Linked DNA regions of Medicago truncatula. The protein of the gene in region 2 interacts with the protein of the main gene of each other region in a pairwise test. Links are inferred from orthologs where the notes say so. Each region holds a gene or a part of one and is shown on either strand. Other genes may lie near its edges.

The links. The genes of interacting proteins can lie anywhere in the genome.
Region 1: the proteins of axial regulator YABBY 4 (region 2) and protein TIFY 6B interact in binary tests that used the Arabidopsis thaliana proteins (3 or more experiments, as listed by UniProt). The link is inferred for Medicago truncatula from reciprocal best matches to the Arabidopsis thaliana genes INO and JAZ3.

What each region holds. Positions count from the first base shown.
Region 1 is NC_053047.1:33,188,234-33,195,492, reverse strand, and holds the start of protein TIFY 6B, read left to right. Parts: upstream 1-4,145; 5' UTR 4,146-4,325; coding exon 4,326-4,413; intron 4,414-7,076; exon of another isoform or gene 7,077-7,215; intron 7,216-7,259. UniProt on the Arabidopsis thaliana protein: Repressor of jasmonate responses. Jasmonoyl-isoleucine (JA-Ile) specifically promotes COI1-TIFY6B/JAZ3 interaction. Acts as a negative regulator of MYC2 function. Feed-back regulated by MYC2.
Region 2 is NC_053046.1:14,608,366-14,615,811, reverse strand, and holds axial regulator YABBY 4, read right to left. Parts: upstream 2,728-7,446; 5' UTR 2,637-2,727; coding exon 2,556-2,636; intron 2,435-2,555; coding exon 2,300-2,434; intron 2,185-2,299; coding exon 2,055-2,184; intron 1,949-2,054; coding exon 1,900-1,948; intron 1,810-1,899; coding exon 1,734-1,809; intron 1,579-1,733; coding exon 1,474-1,578; intron 839-1,473; coding exon 761-838; 3' UTR 565-760; downstream 1-564. UniProt on the Arabidopsis thaliana protein: Essential for the formation and the abaxial-adaxial asymmetric growth of the ovule outer integument.

The sequences.
Region 1 (7,259 bases), on a different chromosome or scaffold from region 2:
CCTTTCTTAACTCCCATAAAACTTATCCTCATCAAAGCACTGCTAGAACAAACCAACACACCCCTACTGTAAATGCTCCTCCATCGACCACAAATACTCCATTCGTAAATACCATTACTATGAGTCCTACCTCTGAACAAATGCAATCGCAAACACAGACTCTCAGCCCTTCCCCATAACTGACCTCACCACAAGCTTCTAACTAAATAATTTCAACGCATACCCACCTCACTCACCTCAAATGACCACCAGAGCACAACATGAAAATTTTAAGCCTCTAACTTTTTAATCTTTATACCTCATCTCCAAAATCTAATTTTTCTTTGCCCATCAATCCCATTTATGCATTACATGATCATAATTTAAAAATGGCCATGAAAGAAGAATATGACGCTCTTATTGAAAATAAGACGTGGGACTTAATGCCATGCCCATCTAATGCTAATATTATTCAAAGTTTGTGGACTGTCAGACATATATATATATATATATATATATATATATGATAGATCCTTTAAGAGGTGCAAATCCCATCTTGTAGGTAGTGGGGTCAGTTAAAAAAATGGTATTGATTATAGGGAAACCTTCAACCCCGTAGTCTAAGCATCCACTTTTCGGATGGTTCTCAATGTTATTATATCACTAATCATAGTGTTTTCACTAATTAGATGTCGAGAACACATTTTTACAAGGTAATCTTGATAAAACTGTCTACATGTATCAACCACCAGGTTTTCACAATCCTTAACATCATGATTATGCATTCTTGCTAAATAAGTCACTCTTTGGACTTAAACAAACACCTTGTGCTCGATATTAGTGACTTACCCACTACGTTGCTAACTTGGGTTTCTCTAACAACATCTCCAATCATTCCTTATTCATTTGCCACTGAGGTAATGATATAGCTTATATCCTTCTCTATATGGATGATATCATTCTAGCCGCGTCCTCATATTTCCTTCAATAATCCATGACATGTAAATTGCTCTGAATTTTCTATGAAGGATTTGAGTCCTCTTAGTTACTTTCTCGGTATTTCTGTTATCAAACATACAAGAAGTATTTTTATGTCACAAAAGAAATATGTCGAGGAAAATATTGAGCGTGCGGGTATGGCTTCTTGCAAACCATCTGCTACACTAGTGGACACACAAGTGGAACATAGTGTCTCTTTTTGCAACCCATATCATGATCCAAGTGAGTATAGTAGACTTGTTGGAGCCCTACAATACTTGACCATTACAAGACTATGTATCTCTTATGTCACGCTACAAATGTGTTTGTTTATGCATGATATAAAAACAAAACATATGTTTGCCTTCGATATATTTAGGGTACTCTTGATTTTGGTCTCCATCTATATCCTTCCTCCATTTATAAGCTCATCACATATACTGATGCAGATTGGGATGAATGTCTAGACACCATAAGGTCTTTCTGTATATCTTGGGGACAACCTCATCTCTTGTCTACCAAACAACAACCTATATTGTCTTGATCCTATGTTGAAGCTGAATATTGAGGAGTCATGAAAGTAGTATCTGAGTAATGTTGACTTAGGAATATTATTTTGGAATTACATTGTCATGTCTCAAAGGTTATATTAGTATGTCGTGATAACATAATTGTCGTGTATCTCTATGGTAATATCGTTCAACATAAACACACTAAGCACATTGAGATTGATATTCATTCTTCAAAAAAATTACTTGTGGCCAAGTTTGTGTGTTATATGTTCCTTCATGATATGAAATAGTCGACATCTTCATTGAGCACTTTCCACGGCAACTCTTTGATGACTTTTTACCTAGTCTCAACATTCGGCAACTTCCAATTTCAATTACAAGGATGTATTAGAATATGAAAATACATTTTAAATTTTGCATGTATCTTTTATATTTGGTAACATCTTGATAGTCAAGATAGTAACGACTTGGTAATTTTACTACCTAAGATTGTATGTAGCTTCGGCAGCATATGATACTTGCGCTTCTTCATGGAGGTACCACTGTTACCCAGATGGGCTTGTAACCCACAGACGTGGTTCTAAACCCACACCACATGCGTGTTTGTGGCTTCTAGTTTATCATGGCAGTTGGTTCATGGTGGTTTGTAGTTCATGGTGGTGTTGGTTTTTATGATGGATCTCGTCGTGGTTTGTGGCGGTGCTTATGGTGGTTCGTTATAGTTTGTGATGGTAGATTTGAATCGAGATCCAAATTTTCGGTGGCTGGTGAGTTTCACAAGTGTAAATATGTTAAAGTACCAATGTCTAGTTCGTTAGATTAGGCTCGCCAAACCTATCTTCTTTTTCTCTTGTTCGAGGAATTAGGGAGCTGAGCAAGACGTGGAGATTGATGTTGTTGGTTTGGGAGTGAGAATGTTAATGTTGATTTTGTGTGTGGTTGTAAGTTTTAGTTGTGGTGATGGTGATGACGAGTTTGTGGGTTGGTTTTTTTTTTTTTTTTTTTTTGGGGGGGGGGGGGTTTCTTTTGTTTGTCTTCCATTGTCTGCTTGTAGTGACCTTCAAACTGGGTCCATCCCCGCCACTAGCTCTTTTCCCATTGTTGGGTTTTTTTTTATTTTTTTTTATTTTGAGTGTTTATATTTGGATTGACTTTGAGTTGGACTCTTTTTCGAGCTAATTATGTTTGCGCCACCGCTTCCACCTGTCGATTGTCTGAGGGATTTGTCTTCATGATTCTTATGGGCCGATCGCTTTTGCTTGGAGATCAGGAATTAGTATCTAGTTTCAAGTTTTTGGGATATTATGGTGTATTCCAGTGTACTGGAGTTTCAAGGGATGCATTTAGTGATTTCTTTTATGGAGTCTTGTGGAGCGATCACTTTTGCTTTGAGATCAGGATTCTGTTTCTAGACTTAAGTTTTTTTTGTTTGCTTGGTGTTTTCTCTGGCAGGCTGTGTGTCGGTTGCTTGGGCTCATATGAGGTGTGGTTATAGGGTTTTGGTCAGGGTTTTTTTTTTGGAGGAGTTTTGGTGCGAGTAGAAAATTTGGATGAAGTTTTTGTTTTTGTTGGTGTGTCGAGGTTAGACTTTGATTTTGGTGTTGATGGTTAGTTTTTGTATTGAGTTTTGGTGGTATCCCTCGGTTGGATAATATCTCTATTGGTGGTTTTTATGTCTGAGATGTACAAGTTTTCTTTTGATTGTTCAGTCTATATGCAACACTCTTTGTTTGTTGTATTTTTATCTTGTCTGTCTCTATTTATCTTGTGTAAGGATGTTTATTTATAAAATTTTGCCGTTTAAAAATAAAATTAAAAAAGCTACTTAAGATTGTAATTTAAGTACGATACTTGATGTTTGGTTTTACCATAAAAAACACATGCAATCAGAAAAATAACCAAGTTGAAGATGTCTACTCACTTTCTGTTATGTCTATCAACAGTAACAACCATCCTGCATAATCGATTATCTTTTCATCCAACGGTTCACATGTATTTCACGTTTCCAATGAGTCTTTTCATTGTTTCCAACCTAATATTTAGTTTCCTCTTTACAGAAATAACTCTACTATAACTTTTGTTTGAGTTAATTACTAAATGATTTTTATAAATATTCAAAACTTCAAATTTAATCACTACAGAATAAAATTTAATATTTTTTAGTCCATGTAGAATTATTGTCAAGACTTTTAGTCTTCGTAAAATTTCCACCAACATTTTTTTCGTCTTTCTAAAATTTTCTTCAATAATTTTAGTACTTCAAAATGCCAAAGAAAAATGTTACATGGACAAAAAAAAAATGGTTTTAATTTGTATGGATTAAAAGTAAATTCTAAATATTTATACAAATCATTTACTTAATTAAACTAACATACAGAAGCCCTGCGTTTGTTATCAAATCCATCATATTATAAATTTTTGAAGGAAAATGCATCATATTATTATTCACTTAATTTTAAATCTTACAAAAATTACCAACTTAATGGTGTCATATTATTATTCACTTAAAAGCATGTTTTTAAAGAAAAAAATTGTCAATTTATTATATAATAATTTGATAGACTAGATTGATATACATCCAACAATTTGCACCTTTTTTTTAAGGAAACAATTTGCATATTTTATTCTTTTATGTTCATTATTATATATATATATATATATATATATATATATATTTCTGTTGTGTTCTCTCTCTGTTACTACTTTTTTCTACTCTCTTGCTTTCTGTTTTCTCTCCATTCACCACAACCAAACACTTCACTTTTCTCTGCCTGGTCTTTGCACTTGTCAAAGTTTTATTCTTTCTGCAACTTTGAAGAAAAATAAATTTGTTGTTATCTGATTTTTTCACCACAAATGGAAAGAGAATTCCTTGGCTTCAGTTCCAAAAATAGTCCATGGACTACCATGAAAGAAGATGCTTCCAACAAACCAAAAGACCAAGGTATCAATTTTCATCTTTTTCTATTTTCCATGAAATATTTTGCACTAACACCTATTATTATGGCGATGTGAAACTTGAAAATTTTGCATTTTCATTAAATTAACTAAAACAGCTGTTTTTTTTTTTTGTCTTTTATATATATATATATATATATATATATATATATATATATATATATATATTTGGGATTTAAGTTTTATATTTTTATTTATTATTTAATCATGCATGGGGATTTAAGTTTTATGTTTTGAATGAATTTTTGTTTGTTGTTTCAAAGATGAAAAAATGAAGAAAATTTAGCTTAAACTTGTAGATAATAATAAGGGTTATGCTATCAAGTGTCCTAAGGGTATTATTGTTTAACAATTTTATTATAAAATTTTTTATCTTAAAAATATAAGTTGAACACATGTAAAAATAATAATTACACAAATTTTTATATTAAAATTACTACTTTTAATTGTTTAAACAATGTTTTAAAATATTTGTTAACATATTTCCCTGATAATAATATAATAATGAAGAACAAGGAAGAGAAGAATGAATTTGTAGCCTTATGTTCTTTTGCTTTTTTTTCCTTTAATGGATAAGATTAAGTTCAAAAATTTTAAGGTTTCATAGGGTGAACTTGTTTAAGGTTATCTAGTCTAGTTAAAAGACATTTTAGCTGCAATTTGCAGCCTCCTATGCTACATAATTGAATTAATAAGGTAAAGTATATATCATACAGCTACTTATGTTTGCAAGGAAAATCTTATATTAGCACATGGCTAGGGCCATGTGATACTTATGGTTCAAAGTTGATGTTTGATGTGTGGTATTTATTGTTCAAAGTTGATGTGTGATGTGTGGTAGGGAATAGCAACTTGCAACTGTGTTGTAAGAGGGAAGCCACAATTATTGAGCTAGTTGATATATAGTCCATGTGCATATAAGTTTGAATTACATACATTACCACCCATTGCATCAAAAAGAAAAAAAGTGTGTTGTGATATAGGGTCAAAATAAAATAGATGTGGGTCACTTGATATTTTTATTTTACACTTTTTATAACTTTACCCTATTGATAAAAACTGTTTTATTATAAATATTTATTATTTTATTTCTTTTTCATTGATTAGGTTTATGTCATTTTTTCTTTTTTTTTTAATCTATCTTTAGCTCAAACATAAATATTACATTTTATTTATTTAAATTTGATCATAAAATAAATGAATATAAAGTTAAGCTCATGTAAAATCTTAAGACTGATTATTTATAGAAAAATTAAGAGTATAATTTTATTTTAAATAATTTAGAAGCAAATATAGCATCAACATTTCATTTAATTCTATGTATCAATTGGTCGAAAAGGTTCAAATTCAAAGTCATTCATATTGGTGGATGAAGGCAGCTAACATTGTTTATGTGTTCGGGATTCATAGTTGGTTTGCTAGTCCTTTGCTTTGTTTGGGTGTAGGCTACATGTGTTTGATTTTTTTGTCTCTGAGTCTTTTGACTAAACTCTTGTATAATTATGATCGTTCTCTTCTAGCACTTCTTGTGCGGAAGGAACAAAGTCTTTGTTGTTGATATAAGTTTCATTTTTGCCTCTTAAAAATAAAACATTTCATTTAAATTTGTTTTTTTACAAAATTCATTTAGTTTTTTTTTAGAAGGAAACCATTTTTTTATAAAATTATTATTAATTTCTATGTGTTAGTGTTGATCAATGTGGTGTACGTGTCAATGTGAGTGTGAGACACATTTCTTGCTTATAATAATAAATTATAAATTGTAAATGCTATATTTTTTTGGTTAGATGGTTGGTTACAAAACTTATGTTAGAAAACGTGCTCTTGGTTGTTTGGTGGTGCTCTTTATTCTTTATATATTTTATTGCATAACGTGGTCCTTCATTTTCTTGATTTTGATGCAAAATTATAAATATTTAAATGCTTAAAGAAATACATACCACTATCGTATGTTTTTTAATATAAAATATCGTGGATCCTGATGTATGAATGAGAGTCTAAAAAGAATAAAAATATGTGCCTTTATCAATGTATATAAACAAACAAAAAAAACAAATCACCATGTTTAATATTAAATCTAAGGTCTAACATGGGCATTGATGATGCATGCATAGCCTTGAGAAATAAATAACATTTTTTTTATGTTAGTGACAAGCTGGTTGCAAAGAGGTGCACATAAAATATTCATATACAAAGGAAACATTTAATAAAAACAAAGTCATATCATAAATTATTGCAAGCTACTAAGAATAGTACCATTTAGTACATTATATAATTATATTATATGATGATGGACTATGATTAAATAATACTATGCTTCATAAGGAATTACAATTTTTTTTTCTTGCTACTTTTGTTATTGTATTTTAAATTTATATGCCGTACCTGGCCAGTTATTACCTAGATAACAATGAAAATAAACTAATAACAAAGTAACAAGGTCACATGTGATATGATTATATATAATATGTAATATAATCTTTTAAAAAACATGGACTCTGGATTCTTGTGATGAAAGTTCTACAAGAGCATCTTCTAAATATTTTTATGGTAGATTAATTTTTTTATTATTTCATAGCTGTTGCTAAAGTTTTTCTATTTATTTATTTTGATGGGTTAGATGAAATATAGGTTTGTGTGACATATATCATATTCATATGTGTCTATATATATTGAAGTATAGTTTACAACACTTTGTGATCTTAGAAAGCTTGATGAACAAAAATTTCTTAGTAACTTAGATCATTGTCAATATAATCATCATTGTGCTTTTTCTTTGTTTAAAAAGGTATTTTAAATCGATCCAAACTTGTTATTTCAAATATTTTTTTT
Region 2 (7,446 bases):
AAAAACTATTCAGAATATTCCAGTGAACTCAAACTATTATAATATTTTTTAAATGTTTAAAAACATATATGTTCTTTTAAAAAAATCTTTCTATTTTTACTATTTATTCATGTGTAATTTGCTAAAAATAAATAAATTAAATATAGCCCCACACATTTTTGATTGTTTAGTAAGTATGTTATTGATGCGAAGTAATCATCAACTTATCCTTTTTAAAAAAGTATTTATCAATTTTATTTATGATTAAAATATGAGGGAATACTTGACGGACCACTAATGAAGTCTCCTCTCTCAATTACATTTTTTCCAAACCACAAGACTTGAAACCAAAATTTGTTTAAGAGATATATGGCCTTCACTTATAACAACCCTGGACGGTCTCTTAATTTTTTTTTTCTAGTCAAAATGATTGTAGAGGTTTGGCTTATATTTAATTTCTTATTATAGTTTTTCTTTTTTTTGTAATTATAATTTCTTATTATAGTTTAAGACATGAGAACTTGGTAAACATTTCTTTGACCCTGAATACTACTAATTCATGGAGTTGATAACAGATAAAAGGTGTCAGATAAAATAGTCAATTATTAAACAAACTCTAAAGTGTCACAAATTGTTATCTCTAGATTGAACCTACTTAATTCATGTTTCATTACCAAGACAAGAGCATCTCTTTTTTTCAGAAGGAAAATGACTTCATTAGATGCATGCAGCTTTCTTCCTTGTCATATATGCAGAAGAGTGAGCTTTCTTATTCATTCATTCACTCAAATGGTGTCCTTTCCAAGATGGAATTTCTTGGTACCTTTCTTCCACGGAATCCTTGTTCTTCTTCATTCACCTGAAAAGTGATATTGATGCAGTCATTAAAATTGTCAAGTACTGCTAGATTACAAAAACAGGTAGGGTTTTCTATGGAAATTACATGTCATGAAAGTGACTTGCTAGACATAACAAGATTATTTTGTGTCATTTTATATTAGTATTATCCTGTTGTACGTATTTATTTATTTATTGAAGTGTCATATTGCTACTTTAGCCTCTCTTATTCAAATGTACTCTTGTTGACTCATTGCTTCTAGTACATAATACATAAAATTTTTTGACTAATTTTGACTTATATTTAAAACTATATATATATATTAGTTTATAATTCTTGGTAATTTTTGACAGTCAATAATATAATATAATGTATTTAGAATCTGCAAGAAGTTTCTAGTTTGGTGGATCAATGTCATGGTGAATGGAAACCAACAACATGAGGGTATAAAGTCTTTACCATTGAATGCATGGACTATACCTTTACTATTCACCATGTGATATAAAGAAAGGGACAAGTACCACTATAAATGCACACAGTGCCAAACCTAAAGAATCTCCTACTTATAGCAAGTTTTAATAAGCTAAAATAATTCTTAAATGTGAATTATAAGAAAACAACTTAGATAATTAATCTTCAAATAATTATGTTTTTACCTCTGCTTCATTGGGGTCCACTTGGGAGTCAAGATCCACAAATTGATCTGTCTGGCTACAGCTCTCTTCATCTCCTTTGCACTGAGTTGGGGGGCAATTAGCCCACTGAAAATATATATAAAAAAAAAATCCAAGATTATGAATAATTCACCAATCTTATAAAATTTCCTATAGTTTTAAATGAGTGGAACTAATAGCTAGTTAGTTTTGAACATGGTTCTGCAATATATAATCATGTGATTTTGAAAATTAGACCTTACATTTTTTGCAGCTGTACTAAAAGCTTCCTTGTGAGCCATATCAGGGTTTTTAGCCTTTAGCCTTTTAATCTCTTCTCTGCATTAAAATTATACTCAAAATATTAGAATTAAAAAATTTACAAGTTTATGATAAGTGTAACTTTTGTTAATGTGACATATTAATTACTTGATGAAGCGGTTATAAGCTGATGGTGTTCTTTGTCTCTTCTCTGGTGCTGCATAGAACAATGATTCATTCATCAAATAAATAATTTTTTTTTATTGTATATACTATATACTAAACTTGCTTCAAACTCAATAAGTTATCTTCTTGTTACATACGTTTGTTGACAACATTGCTGATTGGAATTACATCATCTTCCTCACAATCAGAATAAGTCATCATGGATGCACTAGTATTACTGTTCAAAGTCTTGTTTGCATCTTCATCTGGACTACTACTTTCTTTTTGCTGCATAGTGAAAATATTCACAAATAGTTTTTTAAGTTAATATCTAGTATATAATACAAATACCTAACTATAAGAAAATAAACAAAGTATTGGAAATGTGACTTTAACTTATGACCTCAAGATGAGTAAGAGATGCTAAAAGGTGGAAAGGGACAAAAGAAGCTTTCATCATGTTAACAGATAAGAGACTTGTGCAGTGACCACATCTTACTGTCACCACCATTGTCAAACTGCTGCATGGAACACTTACCTGCATCACACAATTGAAATGAAAACAGTTAAAAAACAAAAGAAGAAAATGAAAACAAAAAATAGGTATTGAAAGTAAATATCATGAACTTAAGAAGTGCAATTAGAAAACTCATGGTTACCATTAAAATGGTATTGCAGAATCCACATTGTACATAGCATATTTGTTCCGGAAGATCAAAAAGATGGTTTAGTGTTGACATGAGTGTGTTAATGTGTAGCTAGGTGAGTCGGTGTTGGTGTGAAGAGAAAAGGAAGAGAAATAAGGGATATAAGATATGAAGATGTAATGTAACTCTTTTGACACAATGAAGCATTTATAGTTGAAGTTGAACACTCATAATCAATCATCTTCTCACTTTAATGATTTTTGAGATAATGCTGATTTTCATTCCCGGAAACCACTCCAACATTGCTAAGGATGTACGTGGTTTGTTTGTATTTTTTATTTTTGAGGTCTACTAATCCTACAAAACCGGCTTGTAAGGTGACGACTACCCATATCCACAGGTGACGATTGTCCACCGCTTATAAACTCATTTTTAGACTTTATCTTATCCAATGTGCACTCTTAATACACACTCCTCACACCGACAACAGGACGTCTGAAGCGTAACTCGGGTGATTTGGTAGCGGTGACCTAATAATAAGTGGCCTGGTGAATTTTGGATAGACTCCGATGCCATATTAGAATTTGGGATACTATAAACATGTTTTTCAAGCCTTAGCTCATTCACGGACGAACCCAAGAATAAATTGTTAGTGAGGCTAAAATTTTTGGCAAAGTAAATTATACTAAAAATAACAAACACTTATGTATTAGTAGTAAGTAACAATTAAATTTACAAAGAAAATAGTCTATCACCCATTTGATGAAAATGAGCTAAAATAACACCTTCATCTATAAAAGTTACAATACGATCATTTAACTATTAACCATTCATTCTCTCAAAAAAAAAAAAAACTATTAATCATTCATGTTTTTAGATAGTTACACTCTTAACATATTTCATAACTCATAAAACACGGTCAACACTTGCAGTTGCCACTGGAAAAACCAAAGCTAATTTCATAAGATTATACACCACATCAAATGCAGTGCACTTGTTTATTTTTACAAACTTTGCACAAAGGTCTGAAAGTCCTTTCAACTTTGTAAAATTGAGGCCACCTCGAACATTTCTAACATAATTCTGAAACTAATGGTGCACCACCACTTCCAGCACGTCCATAAAATCATTTTGATAAAGCTCAATCATTCTTAATAAATTGTACATATCAAAAGTTATAAATAATGATACTTGACTCAAGCATACAACACATTGTAAAAATTCAATACTCTCTTCATTAAATCTAGCGTTGAACTCCTACTATTGTAAAAGTTTAATATTTTTTAAAATAAATTTGAGTTGGACTAGTGTTGCTATAGTCAGACCATACCATAACGTAGGTCCTCCCATAAGCTCATTCAAATTAGGGCTCTTAACAAATTTAGGAGTAAAATTACAATCACACCCTTGAGAAGAGAGTTTATGTTAATTTCACCTATTTGGTTGAATGTTATTATTATAATAACTGGCAAACTTCTCCATTGGTTGCAGTGGCTCAAAGTTCTATGGTACTTCGCAGAATGAGTTAAAGTACTTGTTTGTTTCATGTGTTGTTTTCTCTTTTATTGACACTTATAACTCTCCAAGCCTTTTCTCTGTCCTAGAAGAAAATGAAAGTGCAGAAATTTTTTCTATAATAGAAAGAGGTGTAAGTTTCCACAAGGGCACGTAGGAGAAGGTAAAGAAGCATCTTATTAGGATTTGTCTTTCATGAAAGACAGCAAAACAAATTGACCAATGAAAAAAAGGATCCTCCCCACTTTCTGTGCTCTCTTTAGGCATGTGTCACTTCTCATCTATTTTTGCTTCACATTTGAGTTATAGGATTCTGCATTAACCATGTATTATCCATATCATTCAAAACCTATTTCTGTTGTTTCCTTAACTCTCTCCCATGTGATTGCCCATGAGTTAGATTTTGGAGGGTCAATAATATTCATTCAACAAAATATGAAAACCAAGAGCAAAAGTTCTTTGATTATATATGATTTATGAAAATATATTTTGTGAATCAGCCGATCCTTTTATTGATAGTTTTTTTTTTTATATATATTAAGAATTCCGTACACATGAATAGAAGGCAAGCCGACAACAAACTGCGCTGCTAGGCAGAGTTAAAAATGTCTTTTATATTTCTTGTGTTTTAAAGAGTTACTGATCAATTCAATTGTTTTTAGAAAAAGTGCAAGCAACGCTCTATCTTTTATGGAATAAACCATCAATTTGATCCCTATATTATCACACTTTTGTCAACTTAATCCACAAACTATAAAAATATATTAAATAATCCCTAAATTATTATTAATCCTTCAAATTAGTCCCTAGTTTCCTTGAGAAATAAAAGAGAATGATAATTCAAGCGAAGGAATTAGTCCATCATTTCCTTGTGTTATAAGATTGACAAAGAGGTTTAGCTTCTAACATATCTTAAAGTGGATTAGATTTTGTTGCATGAGGTCATTGAATTAAAGGGGGGTGGGGTTTATAATATGAAAATTGCCCTTGCTTCTTTAATGCAAACAACTAACATTTGCAATCTTATTCCTATAAACCTAGGGCCTACTTTATAGGGTGACTAGGACTAAGTTTTTCTCTCACAAAGAACCACATTTGTGAAACTTCTTTACGTGTTATGATAAATAGCTATGTCCCACAAACAAAATGAACGAAAGTTGTGAGGTAGGTAGGAATCAAAAACCGTGAATATACCTCTCTTATTGCTGCATTATTATTTTTAAGTCAATTTTTGTAGCCTATTATAAAGATAAAGATGTTATTGGCTTCTTGCAATTATAATCTCATTTATTTGTAAGCTCCCTCTCCATTGTTTATTTTGGACTTTTCTGTTTTGAAAATTTTGTCACAGCCCTAAAAGATTGTGTGTTTGTTCCCTTGTGCATTAATTATAACCACTCCTACTTTAGAGCTTATTTATAACTCGTTAGAGGAGTTTTGGAAATCACTTTCATGGAAATTGCAAAATCACATAATGATACAATTCTTATGAAAATTATTGGGCTCTGATTTTCCTGAAAAAACAGCAATATTAGGGTGAATATGATATTTGTCAAAATCAAAGTGATTTCCTCTTTATTTGAATAAGCTTATATAAGGTCATGATTATCATGAAATATATTGTGTATATATCACAACTCACAAGAGTTAGCCACATTTTCAAACAAGAAAACAATTGTGTTGATCACATAGTCAATAATGTATTCTCTCTATCTAATTTTACTTGGTGAGATTCGCTATCTCGTTGTATTAAACAATTCGTAAATGAGGTAGTCAATTCTGGAGATAAATAAAAAAAGAAATCTTTATCGGTTCTACCTCCTTTTTTTACAAAGAGAATGAACCTTTTTATCCAAATAATACCTATGGATACATAAGAAACCTATGGAATCGGTTCAATCGCAACTTGAAATATGTAATTCAAAAGTAGAAAGAAAAAATAAATTATCTTAATCATAGACCTATAAGAAAATACACGATCAAAGGAGAATTTATTTCTTAATCGTCAGAATCTTCTTTGTTTTAGATTTCGTTCATATGTTTTTATTTTTGCTTGCTTTTGTTATGACGCACTCTTTTTCTCTTCACCAATGTTTTATCTCACTGGATTTTCTAAAGTTTTTGGGAGGCAATTGTATTGGCACATCTTTGATTTTTGGGTTTTTGTCTAGTATCCCAAGAACTATTTTTCTTTTGTTTATTTTAATATACTTAACATTTCCCATTTAAAAATGTGACTTATATTATATTTTTGTTTAGAGGATATTGCTTATATTTATAAGCACTTTTTCTGCAAAGAAATCTTATATTTAGTAAAAAGGAGAATGTTTTTATATTATCTTTGAGAATCAAAGGGAAATATAAGAAGCTTTTTCGCAGATACATGGTAGCATCATTCTATCCAAAGATAGCAAATTTTGCTCATGCTCTAAAAGAAATAAAATTTGTCTTCTTTCAATATATATTACCATATATACACCTCAATTCCAATCTGTTATTTCACAATAGGAATGCCTTGGTGTCTTTGACTCACTGAAACTTTTGCTATGTACATGAACCTGAGAAAACTATAAAGTGCAAAGGTATGCACCGATTTCATGGCATGAATTACTAAAATGAGAAAGAGTAAATTGAGTTAGCTTTTAAGGCACATATCAGAATTGAATAGACTATCTCATAATTGTGAGATGTAGTAGTTCAACCTCATGGAAAGTGACTAAAAATATTTGAAAGTTTTTTGAAGTTTGAACTAAAATTGGTGAGTCAAATTTCAGATCATTAAACCTTGTAGAGTGACACATTGAGGTGTCACTGTTGTCAATTCAAAATGAATCAAAAGTTTCCAACTACTCAGTTGTCAATGCATGCACCTTACTTTGTCAGATGCATACTATTTGGATTGGATTATAAAGATAAAATTAAAGAGGTTGTATACTATTTGGCCTCAATTAGATTTAGTTAAATTGCAGTGTCCATTCAAAAAAATTAATGTTAAGTTGTGATGTAATGGAGTTGACAAAAAGGTTGTTGGTTTTGTTTATTCCTTCTAATTCATGTTTTTGTTTGCATGTGTTTCTTTTTCAATAACAAAAAATTTATACTATTAAAACCAGCATTTTATACAAACACAAGCAAAATCACAAACTTAAATAATTTATATTATTAAACTTCACTATCTATTTTTTAAATTGTTAAACCCAATCAATTTTAATGGTGACGTAGTGAACTGTAATAAAAAAAAAAAAAAAAAAAAGGTGAGATGGTTAATATAGCCGAATAACATTCGTTCAATGACCAAGTTTCTAATTCAAACCTAGATCACAACTAGTACTAGTAAATAATTAGGTTATGAAAACTACTTCTAGTCATGTTTTGTTGTGGTAAATGT